3 linked regions of the Neurospora crassa OR74A genome follow. The protein of the gene in region 3 interacts with the protein of the main gene of each other region in a biochemical or structural test. Links are inferred from orthologs where the notes say so. Each region holds a gene or a part of one and is shown on either strand. Other genes may lie near its edges.

Region 1 (3,750 bases), on a different chromosome or scaffold from region 3:
CGGGGTGGTTGAAGAGTGTCGCATCTGGTGAGTCCTTGACCACGCACATGCGAAATGCGCGCAGATGAGATATTTGTTTCTTCTTCAAAATTGTCGTGCCAGTGGTGAAGATGGCCTTGTGTAGATACTGCGCCGTGGGAAGGCCAGCCTTAAGGGCCTCGATGTCCTCCAGCGCATCATACGCCTCCCAGAACCTGGGGATCCACTCCTCACTTTGGCTCTGGTTGTTGTCTACGTCGAGAAGATCCTGAGATGGGCCAGCAGGAAGGTCATCAGCACTAGTGGTGTTCTTCCCCACTTCCAACAGGGCTCCGACTACGACACCGACATCTTGCGCACTCAGGGTTGCCCTCCAACCCCAACTGCGTACAAAGCCCCATCCATCTTTGGCACCTCCACGATCTTTCCCGTCCGTGTCTATGGTCGGGACAAGTTCGTCGAGGTTGTAGAGAGACGCGTATTTTAGTAGTTTGGTGCGAAGTTCGCGCTTCAACATCATGTCCATGTGGGCATAACTCTGCTTGCACTGCACCAGACTGACACCCATCTTGGCGAGAAGCTTGTGTAATCGCTTCATGCCAGCCTCGCTCCACGTCTTTAGCCGAGAGAAGAGGTAGGGTGAGTGAAGCATGCTGTCGTATAAACTCCAGTGCCTAATAAGCAGGAACTTGGGCTCCGGCGACAACCTGATACTGGTATCCTCCGGACTTCGAGCGGTTGTTGGGATAATTCCTGTCGTCTCGGGGAGCACCCGGCCGTTTCCTATCTCTGGTGGGTTGAGACGTCTGACCTCGTCTCGCAGAAGCTGCCGTATTCTCGCACCACGCATGCCGAGCCAACCGGAAATGCGGGCGTCTGACCTGCGAGCTGCTACCGCAATACCGGCAGATGAGCGGCCGTACAGCTCCATCGACGTGACCCCAACGATCGCTAACCATAGCAGGTCGTTGTCTTCACGACCCAGTTCTGACGCAAGGGAGTACATCATGGACGAGATGGGCTCCGAATATGATGTACCCAGTCGGTAGTACTCGCGCAAAACTCCCTCGTTTTCTCGTCGTAGTCGTAGCAATCTCCGTCGGAGGGTGTTGGCTGAAGGGCCTCTGGGTGGTTGTGCAGCAGGCGGAGCTTCCAGCGCGTCACTGGAAAATAGGGCATCGTCGCGTAGAGATATGAGACCACGGTGTTGCGGTCGTCGAGGCGAATCTGGAATTGGACTCGACTGTATCTGGCATGAGAGATGTATTACTATGAAGAAATCGGAATGTACTCACCGAATTGCTTCTTCGTCGCTGTCTGGGTCGGTCGTCTTCATCATCGTCCTCGTCGAAGTCCGACCATGATTTCCTCTTTCTGCCTGCAACAACCGATGTATCGCCCGTGTCTTCCTCGTTCTCGCTTTCGTCTTCATCACTGTCGCCCAAGTCTCGGCCATCATCTTCGATTTCGGGCATATCCACTAGCGCCAGATACGCATCTCGTTCCTTGGAGAGCTCATCTTCAATGTCGCCGTCATCCATGACAATGATGCCGCCTTTGCCTGGTTTGTATGCTCGCTCTATCCGGCCGCCATTGACACCAATGGGGGTTCGCGCAGAGAATGTCCTGGCCTCTTGCGTCTCTGGTTCGAGGGGAAAGCCGCCGAAAACGTTGCCCAAGTTCCACGGGCGATGGGAGTCGATCACCCACACCTCTACACCCCCAAAGGTATTTTCTTCGCCCTCGGGCTCAAGTCCCAAAACTGTGCCGAGGTCAACCATACCACCCACTCCCAAGCATACGACGACTCCTCCAGCACCACCACGGGTCTCCATCATGGGGCTGACGAGCTCAGTGCCGGCACGTTCGAGGTCGGAGTAGCCAGCGACTGGCTGGATCTTGTGCGGAATATAGTCATGTTTGAGAAGTTGGGTTAGGATACGGCAGGCACATAGCGCATCGGTTTCGAGAGCGACCAAGATGAGGACGGGCGGCGATAGTGGATGGCGGGTATTTTGCAAGTGGAGGTAGAGTTTTGATATAAGCTGTCGAGGGAGATACATTGCGAAGGGAGAATCGGTATCGAGGGTGGATCAGCGAGGGAAATCGGCTGGGGACGGATTGTCGAGGCGGGGCGGCGAGGCGACGTCGTCGTGGGATATTCGCCGGCGTGGAACACTTCAGTTGTAGTTTACTCGAGGTAACTAACTTCGAACTCTGTTCACTGGGCAGAAAAAAAACCGACGGGGGATGCGCGACGCGGCCTGCCCCGCGTTAAGAGCTTTCTGCTCTGGACTATGTAGCTTGAAATATACGATGGCAAAAAAATACTGGTGTGATGGCGATGCACGTCAGTCGGATAGTGTTGTCGCGGTCGACAATAATTCGGGCGAGGGATGATGGTGTTGATAGGAGTGTTCCTTTGTTGATGTTGGCCAGGATCCTTTAATTGACATGGAAGGGCGGCCAACCAGCGCTGCGCTTCGGACGCGCTTCGAGACGCGACTCTGTGAAAGTGGTTTTGTGCCAGGGCGGGCACAGCGTGCATTACTTAGATATCAACCACTGCAGTGGACTGCAGGGGGGGCGTCAGCACAAAGCGTGCAGTGAAAGGACGCGGCCGGAGCGACCAGTTTGCTTGTACCTAGAGGTACCTCTACGTACTTGTAGTGGGGCTTTGGGTTTTGGGCAGGCAAGACGGGAGGTACCTATTGTAGAGCTGGGTAAAGTACCTACCTACCTACTGCGTACAGTAGTATATCAAGAAATGGCGGGGTACAACGCGAAGTGGAATTGCCCAGGGCAGCTGCTGACAGCCAAGGCCACAGGGGCACCCCGGGGCGGCCATCCCTCGACCGAAGCACGGGCATTGGTACAGTAAGTAGGTAGGTAATAAGGTAAACCAGGTAGGTACATCATAGCCCGGCAAATGCCTGCCCAGAGGACAACGGAACAACGGCCAGTAAGGTTCCTGCACGACAGCAATGCGATAGAAGCTTCCACTTCTGCAACTTGTCCACCTGGTCGAACGTGGAATTTCACGAGAATTTCTGCCGGCCGATGTCCCTGGATTTTAGTGAACTCTTTAGTTGCCGTGGAATCATCTGAGAACACTGTCACCGTGGGGCTGCCCAACAGCTGGAACTGAACTAATTTATCAACCTGGGTGACCAGCTGTGCTCTTTCCACTCCATCTCCTACCATAGCATAGGTAGGTGTCCAGACAGGCATCGATGTCCCACAGAAAGGTCCGCGGTGAAGGAACGGACCGGGGATGATGAACTATTCCGAAATTGCAGAGTGCGGATTGAAGTACAATACCTAGCACAGGAAGGGACCATCTAACGATGTGCTTTCCAATCCTGGATTCCGGATCAGCGTCTCCGGATTTCCGATTCGACCTATAATCCAGCTTCCATCTTCGCTTCTCTTCCTCTGTTTAGTTTGGTCCCTCTTTTGTCAATCCACATTTCCATCATTGCTTGGATCACAACACAACAACTGCCGCACACCAGACACCACTCACAACACTGGCCATCCACCACGACACCCACACCACGCCCCGTCTCGTCGGCGACAGTCTCAATTTCACTCCATCCGTGCTACTACAGTAGCCAGCCGGCCTGCCAAGCCAGCCACGACGGCGGCCACTCTTGCGGCCCACGCTTTTCTACGGTCAACCTGACCGCTCCTCTGCCTTCACTGACCAAAGCAGGAAGGAGGCTGTTCAGAGGAACTGACTGATGGTTGGGCCCAGCAACGAGGTGATCG
Region 2 (3,750 bases), about 1.8 Mb from region 3:
TAATTATCGTAAGACTTGAGCTATTGATGTTCTGCGGTGAGCTTTCCAGGATTTTGGATATGTTAAGACTATGATATGATGTGTAGGCTTCCATTCCAACACATGTGGTGGGTGTTGCCGTGTGTATGATAACTTCCAGGTCAAATCTGTGTGTGTCCCATTCATCTCGATTCAAAACTTAGCATTGTCATGATACATCGTCGTCAATCATCACTACGACATCAACTCCTCCAGGATAGACTCCAGCTCCTCTTTCCTAAAAGGTAAGCTCAAGTATTCCGTCCCTATCGAGTCCTTGTGACTCGTAATGATTTGATGATCGTGGAATCTGTTTCCGTTCTGTTAGCCGTTGTCCCTTTAAAACCAAGAAAATCATCTCCACAGCCAAGTCACAACAGAGGGAAGAACATACTCCTTTAGCAGCGTCCTAAACGCCATTTCCGAACTGCAAATAAACTCCTCCACAGCCTTGTTGTAAAGCATCCTATACTCTACCCCCGGCCCTTCTCCTCCCGCTGCAAAGTCTCCTGCCCCTGATGTACCACCACCACCACCACCACCGTCCTCAAAAGCCACCAAAACCTCCCCCACAATCAGCCCAAACAATTTCCTCGCGTTCTCGGGTAAACTCCGCAACACAAACGCCACTCCTTCCTTGCCACCCGCTCTCTTGCCCATCCTACCCAGTAACTCGTGTACTTCGTCTACTACGTCCAACTCTTTGCTGTGGTCTGCAAAAGTGGTGCAGTCGTGAAATGCAAAGTTGAACGAGGAGCGTAAGCTAGAGTCCCAGAGCAGAGGGAAGTCGGGCGTGTCGACTGTGCAAGCGAGAGAGATGGCTGGGTGTGAGGAGAGATGGGCGAGGAGGGATTGCGTTTGGGGTTTGCGGAGGGGGGAGAAGGGGGAGTCGAGGGAGGCTAGGAGGAGGGTGATTCTTGGCTTTTGAGCAAAAGAGGAGAGGAGGGTGAAGAGGTTTTGGATCATGGCGAGCGGGTTTCCGGAGGGTAGGCGGAAGGTGGGGTCGATGGCGGCCGAGATGGTGGTGAGGATCTCGCGGAAGGTGAGGGTGCGGGTGTGCCCGTTGATCATGATGATTGTTGTGTTGTTTGTGTCATTACCGCCGGAGGAGGAGAAGAGGTACTCGGCGAATTGGTGCAAAAGTCGACGCTTGGAGCCGTAGCCGTAGAGGCAGACGCTGAAGCCTTGGGAGAGCTCAAAGGCCCATTGGGGGAAGGAGGCGGCGTGTTGCGACTGGAGGGCATCGATATGTTTTTCGTGGGGGTCCTGACCCAGGTTGCGGAGAAGCGAGAAGTATTCTTCGTGGATGAGGAGGTCGAGCGAGGAGAGCGTGTTGTTCGAGGTTTTGTTGGATCCCGGCTTGTTCTGGTAAAAGTATTGTTCATGGGGAGGGAGGTCTCGGGGTGGTGTGGGCGATTTCTTTCGTCGTGCTAAACCGGGGGGTCTGCCTCCTCGTCCTCTCCCCCTCCCTGTCTTGGATGGAGTGGTTGCTGCTAACTCGGCCTCTTGGTCGGCGAGGTTTTCTTGTTGGGTGTCCCCTTCCTCTTCTTCCTCGCTTGACTCGTAGATCTCTCGTGCGATTTGTTGCTCTTCGTCCTCGTCATCGCTTACGGCGCCCTCCAGCACACGGTCGATGAGAGCCCTGGCACTCTTCCGTCTAGCCGATCGGTCGGCAATTCCTCGCCTGCCGGGTGTGTCGACGCCACTGATTCCTTTGAGCTTGATCGGTGTCTCGTCGACTTGTTTCTTGCGCAGGGCGGATGGTGTGCTCGGCTTGCCACTTGGTGTTCCTCCCGTCTTGGCCTTCGGTGGTCGCCCTATCCTTTTCTTGCTGGGTGTCTGCTCGGTAGGTGACTCGGGTTCTTCTGGCACAGAGGCTAGGTCGCGCTGGAGGAAATCGACCTGTTTCCGCGGGGTGGCGTTTCGCTTTGAAGGTGTTCCTCCATCTTCTGGTTGTCGCCGTTGACGCTTTGCGGAGGGAACCGCATCATCCTCATCTGGAACTTCGTAGGGGTCGGCAGGGAGTGGCCGCTTTCGAGAGGGGCGTTCGACTAGATCGTGCTGATCTGTTGATTTCCGACGAGGAGGCATACCGTTTGTGTTATTGGCTTTGGTTTATGTTGTCCAAGTTGTATGGCATGCCTTGGAGTCCCGCTGTACCTTTACCCTACCTCTGCAATTCGAAGTCTACGGGAAACTTTTGTAAAGTCAAGACGCGCTCGCTTAATTGAGACGCGTTAAGCTGTACATACGCCCGGGATGACGCTACCTACCTCTAGATGGGAAGACAGCAGGTACCTGCTAGAGAGTACCTGCGGGTAGCAGGGTTCGCTGCCTACTAACGGGGGCAAGCCAAGCCCCTGTCTACCACCACATACGCTACCTCTAGGTACTTCGCGGGAGGGTTATAGGTGGGAGAGTTCATAGGCTTTCTTGCAACCTCATGTCATCTCAACCAAACAAACTCCAAGAGGACTATCGCGACCAATATGTCAAAGCTCAATCTCAATTTGTCTGCCTCATTGAACATTTTCAAGCTTATCGCCAAGCCTTCACTATGTCTGCCCCACGCTACAGTTCCAACGTTCAACGACCTGCCCATCCCTCTTAACAAAGCCTTCTCCGGCAATGGCGAGAAGAAGGTTGACATAAAGGCTGTCGTGCTCGACAAAGATGACTGCTTTGCCTATCCTGATCACAATGAAGTGTATGAGGCTTACAAGGTGGGTTGTCTCTCGTCCCAATTCCATTCAGGAACGCTTTGACTGATTAAGCCAAGGAACGCATGGAGGCTCTACGAGCAGCATACCCAGGACGCCGTCTTCTGATCGTTTCCAACACTGCTGGTGCCCTAAGCTGGGACAAGGACGGCCAGATGGCATCCGCAGTTGAAAAGGCCACCGGCATCACTGTTCTCCCCCATGGTGTGAAAAAGCCAGGCTGTGGAGACGAGATCATGTCCTACTTCCGTGCCCACCCGGAAACCGGTGTCACCAGTCCTCACCAGATCGCCGTCGTGGGAGACCGACTGGCCACTGACATGATGCTTGCCAACATGATGGGCAGCTATGGTATTTGGATCAAGGATGGAGTTGTTCCCCACCAGCAGAAGAGCATCGTAAGTGAAACCCTGCAACCAAGCTGCGTGATAAGCCAAAGTCTTTTGCTGACTGGGATATGATAGTGGTCGAGAGTTGAGAGGACTGTTGCGCCCTTCCTTGTATCCCGTGGTTATACCGCTCCTGAGCCAGTGAGCCCCTTTGAGTAACTGCATTTTGTGCTTCTCCAGGGAAAGAAGACAGCGTGTAGTAATGTATGTTTTCTGCATATCCCCAGTAGCTGAGGTGGGTTCTTCTTTTCTTTCGCATCTGTGCCCCATTCTCTTTAATTGTTCCGACGTCGTTGTTCTCCTCTACGTTGTGGTTGTGCCCTTTCCCGATGTCTTGCTCGTTGTGTCCATTGCCTACGAAACATGTTTCTTGTCTCGCTTAATAGTGGTTTCTGGCGCGAGGGAAACAGGCGTGCTTCAGATTTTCCTCTCAGCTGCCGGGCCTGTCTTTCCGTCTGTCTGCGCGATTATCAGAGTTCTCGAGCAACGTTAAGGATACCGTTGTGATTATAAGCGACAGTGTCGTGTGGCTGAGCCGACTGGTCGCTGGTTTGATATCAGTCCCGTTGAATAGCGGCAGAGAACGCTACCAACGGATATGTTAGCAAAGACACAGTAGTTGG
Region 3 (3,750 bases):
GGATTGACTTTAAGGAAAAGGGCAGAGAAGACAAGGGACACGCACGTATGGAAGAGCTTCGCGAGCGTCGGCCTCTAGTTGCATTTGGTCGCGGATGAAGCTAGACCATGGTTAGTACTTTGTCATGTGGTAAGTCCAATATATGACAACATACTCTGCGGCAGTCTGAGAGTTTTCTGACTTGGCGGAGAAGCTTTCAGTACGAGTCTTGGTGAGCGCGACTGGTGCTGGAGCTCCATGGCCATCTGGAGTGGCCTCGGCGGGCTGTTGCGCCGGTTGAGGGTCCATGGGTGATGGATGCTTTCACGGTCAATCTTGGATGGTCGGTGGTCTATCAAAATTGTTGATAAGACAAATGCCTCGAGATGGTGCTGGATCACGAAAGATGGGTTCTGTCCGGAAGTCTTTAAAACAAAAAACAATTGCTGGGGCGCGAAGAGGAGGAGGAGGAGGGGGAGGAGGAGGAGGAGGGCGCGTTGGTGGAAGCGTGGGGAGAAGGACCGAGCTTGCAATGTACCCTTGGTTTGGTGTAAGGCACTGTGGTCTATATGTCCAAGCAGCACAGATTGGAATTGGGTTCAAGGAAACCTATTTGAACGTGATCCGATCAATAACATGGCCCTGTAGTATGTAGCACCTTATAGCTCATGCTTTGCTCGTCATTGTTCACTGGACTTTGAGCTTTTGTGACTTTTTGGGAATCTCGACGAGTCGAATTGGCGTGTAAGAGCAGCACCAAGTGGGTCCGGTACGCATTGCCAAGCCCATTAAACCTCAGCAACCACTTAACGCGACCGCCCTTATCCGGCTTAGCGCATCACGTCTGGCGCGTCTTCCCTGGACTGCAACGCGAGAAAAAAGCAGGGACAAGGTCGCCGCAACGAAGGGCAACATTCATTCAGTGGTTCCTCGACGCTGTTTGTCTCCATTCCCCTCCCCCCCCCCCCCCCCTTCTCTCTCTCTGTCTCACCCCGCAACATATCCTCTTTCTGGCTGGCATTCATTCTCCATAGTAACAACTAGGCCAGCATCCTCCACTCTCTTGTTTCTTCCATCTGTAGCTGGCTACAGTCCTCTGAGATACCCTCAGCCAAGTCGCAATCATGAGGTATGTGTGCCTCTTGCTCTTTCGTCTGTCACGGCTTCTCTTCGCAAGTAAACAGTGAATTAACGGAAACTCTCCAATACCAGTTCCCCGCTTCGCGACAACCCGTCCTCTGCCAACCGTGGCGCCGTTCCCAGGGCCACTCGCAAGCGTGCGCGTAACGATCACGATGGTGCTTCCTCGCTTCCCCGCGCTTCGAGCCCTGTCATGCCCTCTTCTCCTCCCGCCTTCCCAGTTGCCCATGGCGCAGATGAGGACGACGACATCGAGGAAGACGTCGCCGCTGAAATCGAAGACGACATTGACGACCTCGACGAGTTGGCCGAAGACGATGTAGATTTGTTCCGCGAAGGCTTCGAGCGCGATTATAGGGAACGAGACGAAAACGACGCCTACGAAGGAATTGACATCGACGATGACGAGTATGAGGCCCTCGACCCCGCCGCAAGGCGCCGTCTTGAAGCCAAGTTGGCCCAGAGAGACCGTCAAGTGAGGATGGGAATGGGCACCACGTATCTTCCTGGTGATGACGACGATGGTGATATCGACCTTACCAACCTGGAACGCCGCCGAAGAATCCGCTACAATGAAGACCCCGATGTCGATATGGATGGCGACATTATGGACTCGGAACTTCCCCTCGAGGCCCTGATGGATGTCAAGGCTGCCACTTTGAGCGAATGGATCTCAGTCCCGGCTGTACAAAAGACCATCCGCAGAGAGTTCAAGGCTTTCCTCACAGAATACACCGACGAGAGCGGTTCGTCCGTCTACGGCAACCGCATCCGTACTCTTGGTGAGATCAACGCCGAGTCTCTCGAGGTCTCCTACGAGCACCTCGCTACAGCCAAGGCCATTCTCGCATACTTCCTCGCCAATGCGCCAACCGAGATGCTCAAGCTCTTCGACGAGGTTGCCATGGAAGTCGTCCTTCTCCATTACCCCGACTACGAGCGCATTCACGCCGAGATCCACGTCCGTATCTTCGACCTTCCTATCCATTATACCCTCCGTCAGCTCCGCCAGTCGCACCTCAACTGTCTTGTGCGCGTGAGCGGTGTCGTCACCCGCCGCACCGGTGTCTTCCCCCAGCTCAAGTATGTCAAGTTCGACTGCACCAAGTGCGGCGTCACTCTCGGTCCCTTCCAGCAAGAGTCCAACGTCGAAGTCAAGATCTCTTACTGCCAGTCCTGCCAGTCTCGTGGCCCCTTCACCCTTAACTCCGAGAAGACCGTCTACCGCAACTACCAAAAGCTCACCCTCCAAGAATCCCCCGGCACCGTTCCCGCCGGTCGTCTGCCCCGTCACCGCGAGGTCATTCTCCTCTGGGACCTGATCGACAAGGCCAAGCCGGGCGAGGAGATCGAAGTAACGGGCATCTACCGCAACAACTACGACGCGCAGCTCAACAACCGCAACGGCTTCCCCGTCTTCGCCACCATCCTCGAAGCCAACAACATTGTCAAATCCCACGACCAGCTCGCCGGCTTCCGCATGACCGAGGAAGACGAGCACGAGATTCGCCGTCTCTCGCGCGACCCGCACATTGTCGACAAGATCATCAACTCCGTCGCCCCTTCCATCTACGGACACACCGACATCAAGACCGCCGTCGCCCTCTCCCTCTTCGGCGGCGTCGCCAAGCAAGTCGGCGCCCACCACATCCGCGGTGACATCAACGTGCTGCTCCTCGGCGACCCCGGTACCGCCAAATCACAAGTACTCAAGTACGCCGAAAAGACGGCCCACCGCGCCGTCTTCGCCACCGGCCAGGGTGCTTCCGCCGTCGGTCTGACGGCTTCCGTCCGGCGCGACCCGCTCACGTCCGAATGGACTCTCGAGGGCGGCGCCCTCGTCCTCGCCGACAAGGGCACCTGCCTGATCGACGAGTTCGACAAGATGAACGACCAGGACCGCACGTCCATCCACGAAGCCATGGAGCAGCAGACCATCTCTATCTCCAAAGCCGGTATCGTCACGACCCTGCAAGCCCGGTGCGGAATCATCGCCGCTGCTAACCCTATTGGCGGGCGGTACAACTCTACCATTCCCTTTTCTGCCAACGTGGAGCTTACCGAGCCGATTCTGTCTCGTTTCGACATCCTTTGCGTCGTGCGCGACACAGTCGAGCCTGAAGAAGATGAGCGGCTGGCGCGCTTCATTGTCGGGTCGCATTCGAGGAGTCATCCGTTGATGAACAACAACACGCAGGACGCTAGCGGTGGTGACTCCATGGAGGTTGAACACGATACCCAAGCTGCTGCGGAAACCCAACAAACTGGTGAACACGGCCGTAAAAAAGAGGGCGAAATCCCACAAGAGCTGTTGAGGAAGTATATCCTTTATGCCCGAGAGCGGTGCCAGCCAAAGTTGTATCACATGGATGAGGATAAGGTGGCGAGGCTGTTTGCGGATATGAGAAGGGAGAGTTTGGCGACGGGGGCTTATCCTATTACTGTAAGTTCTTCCCTCTTTCCTTTTTCCTTTTTTTTTTTTTTTTTTTTTTTTTTTTTTTTTTTTTTTTTTTTTTTTTTCTTTCTTCCTCCGTCACAAAATACAACACAATAACAACTGCTAACCTCACCCACCACCACCTTAGGTCCGTCACTTGGAAGCCATCATCCGCATCTCCGAAGCCTTCTGCC

Evidence for each region.
Region 1: the proteins of NCU04327 (region 3) and NCU04378 form a complex in vitro, tested with the Saccharomyces cerevisiae proteins (7 studies listed by BioGRID). The link is inferred for Neurospora crassa OR74A from reciprocal best matches to the Saccharomyces cerevisiae genes MCM2 and CDC45.
Region 2: the proteins of NCU04327 (region 3) and NCU01370 form a complex in vitro, tested with the Saccharomyces cerevisiae proteins (2 studies listed by BioGRID). The link is inferred for Neurospora crassa OR74A from reciprocal best matches to the Saccharomyces cerevisiae genes MCM2 and ORC2.

The regions. Positions count from the first base shown.
Region 1 is NC_026504.1:3,568,433-3,572,182, forward strand, and holds the start of NCU04378 (DNA replication initiation factor Cdc45), read right to left. Parts: upstream 2,401-3,750; 5' UTR 2,043-2,400; coding exon 1,275-2,042; intron 1,223-1,274; coding exon 1-1,222. UniProt on the Saccharomyces cerevisiae protein: Required for initiation of chromosomal DNA replication. Acts at the origin of replication. Also has a role in minichromosome maintenance.
Region 2 is NC_026505.1:3,801,789-3,805,538, forward strand, and holds the start of NCU01370 (hypothetical protein), read right to left. Parts: upstream 2,237-3,750; 5' UTR 2,110-2,236; coding exon 413-2,109; intron 329-412; coding exon 214-328; 3' UTR 1-213. Other genes in the region: NCU01371 (UPF0660 protein, variant), read left to right, coding at 2,508-2,741, 2,798-3,136, 3,203-3,286. UniProt on the Saccharomyces cerevisiae protein: Component of the origin recognition complex (ORC) that binds origins of replication. It has a role in both chromosomal replication and mating type transcriptional silencing. Binds to the ARS consensus sequence (ACS) of origins of replication.
Region 3 is NC_026505.1:5,630,913-5,634,662, reverse strand, and holds the start of NCU04327 (DNA replication licensing factor mcm2), read left to right. Parts: upstream 1-951; 5' UTR 952-1,103; coding exon 1,104-1,108; intron 1,109-1,191; coding exon 1,192-3,562; intron 3,563-3,704; coding exon 3,705-3,750. Other genes in the region: NCU04328 (metaphase-anaphase transition protein), read right to left, coding at 46-100, 155-288. UniProt on the Saccharomyces cerevisiae protein: Acts as a component of the MCM2-7 complex (MCM complex) which is the putative replicative helicase essential for 'once per cell cycle' DNA replication initiation and elongation in eukaryotic cells.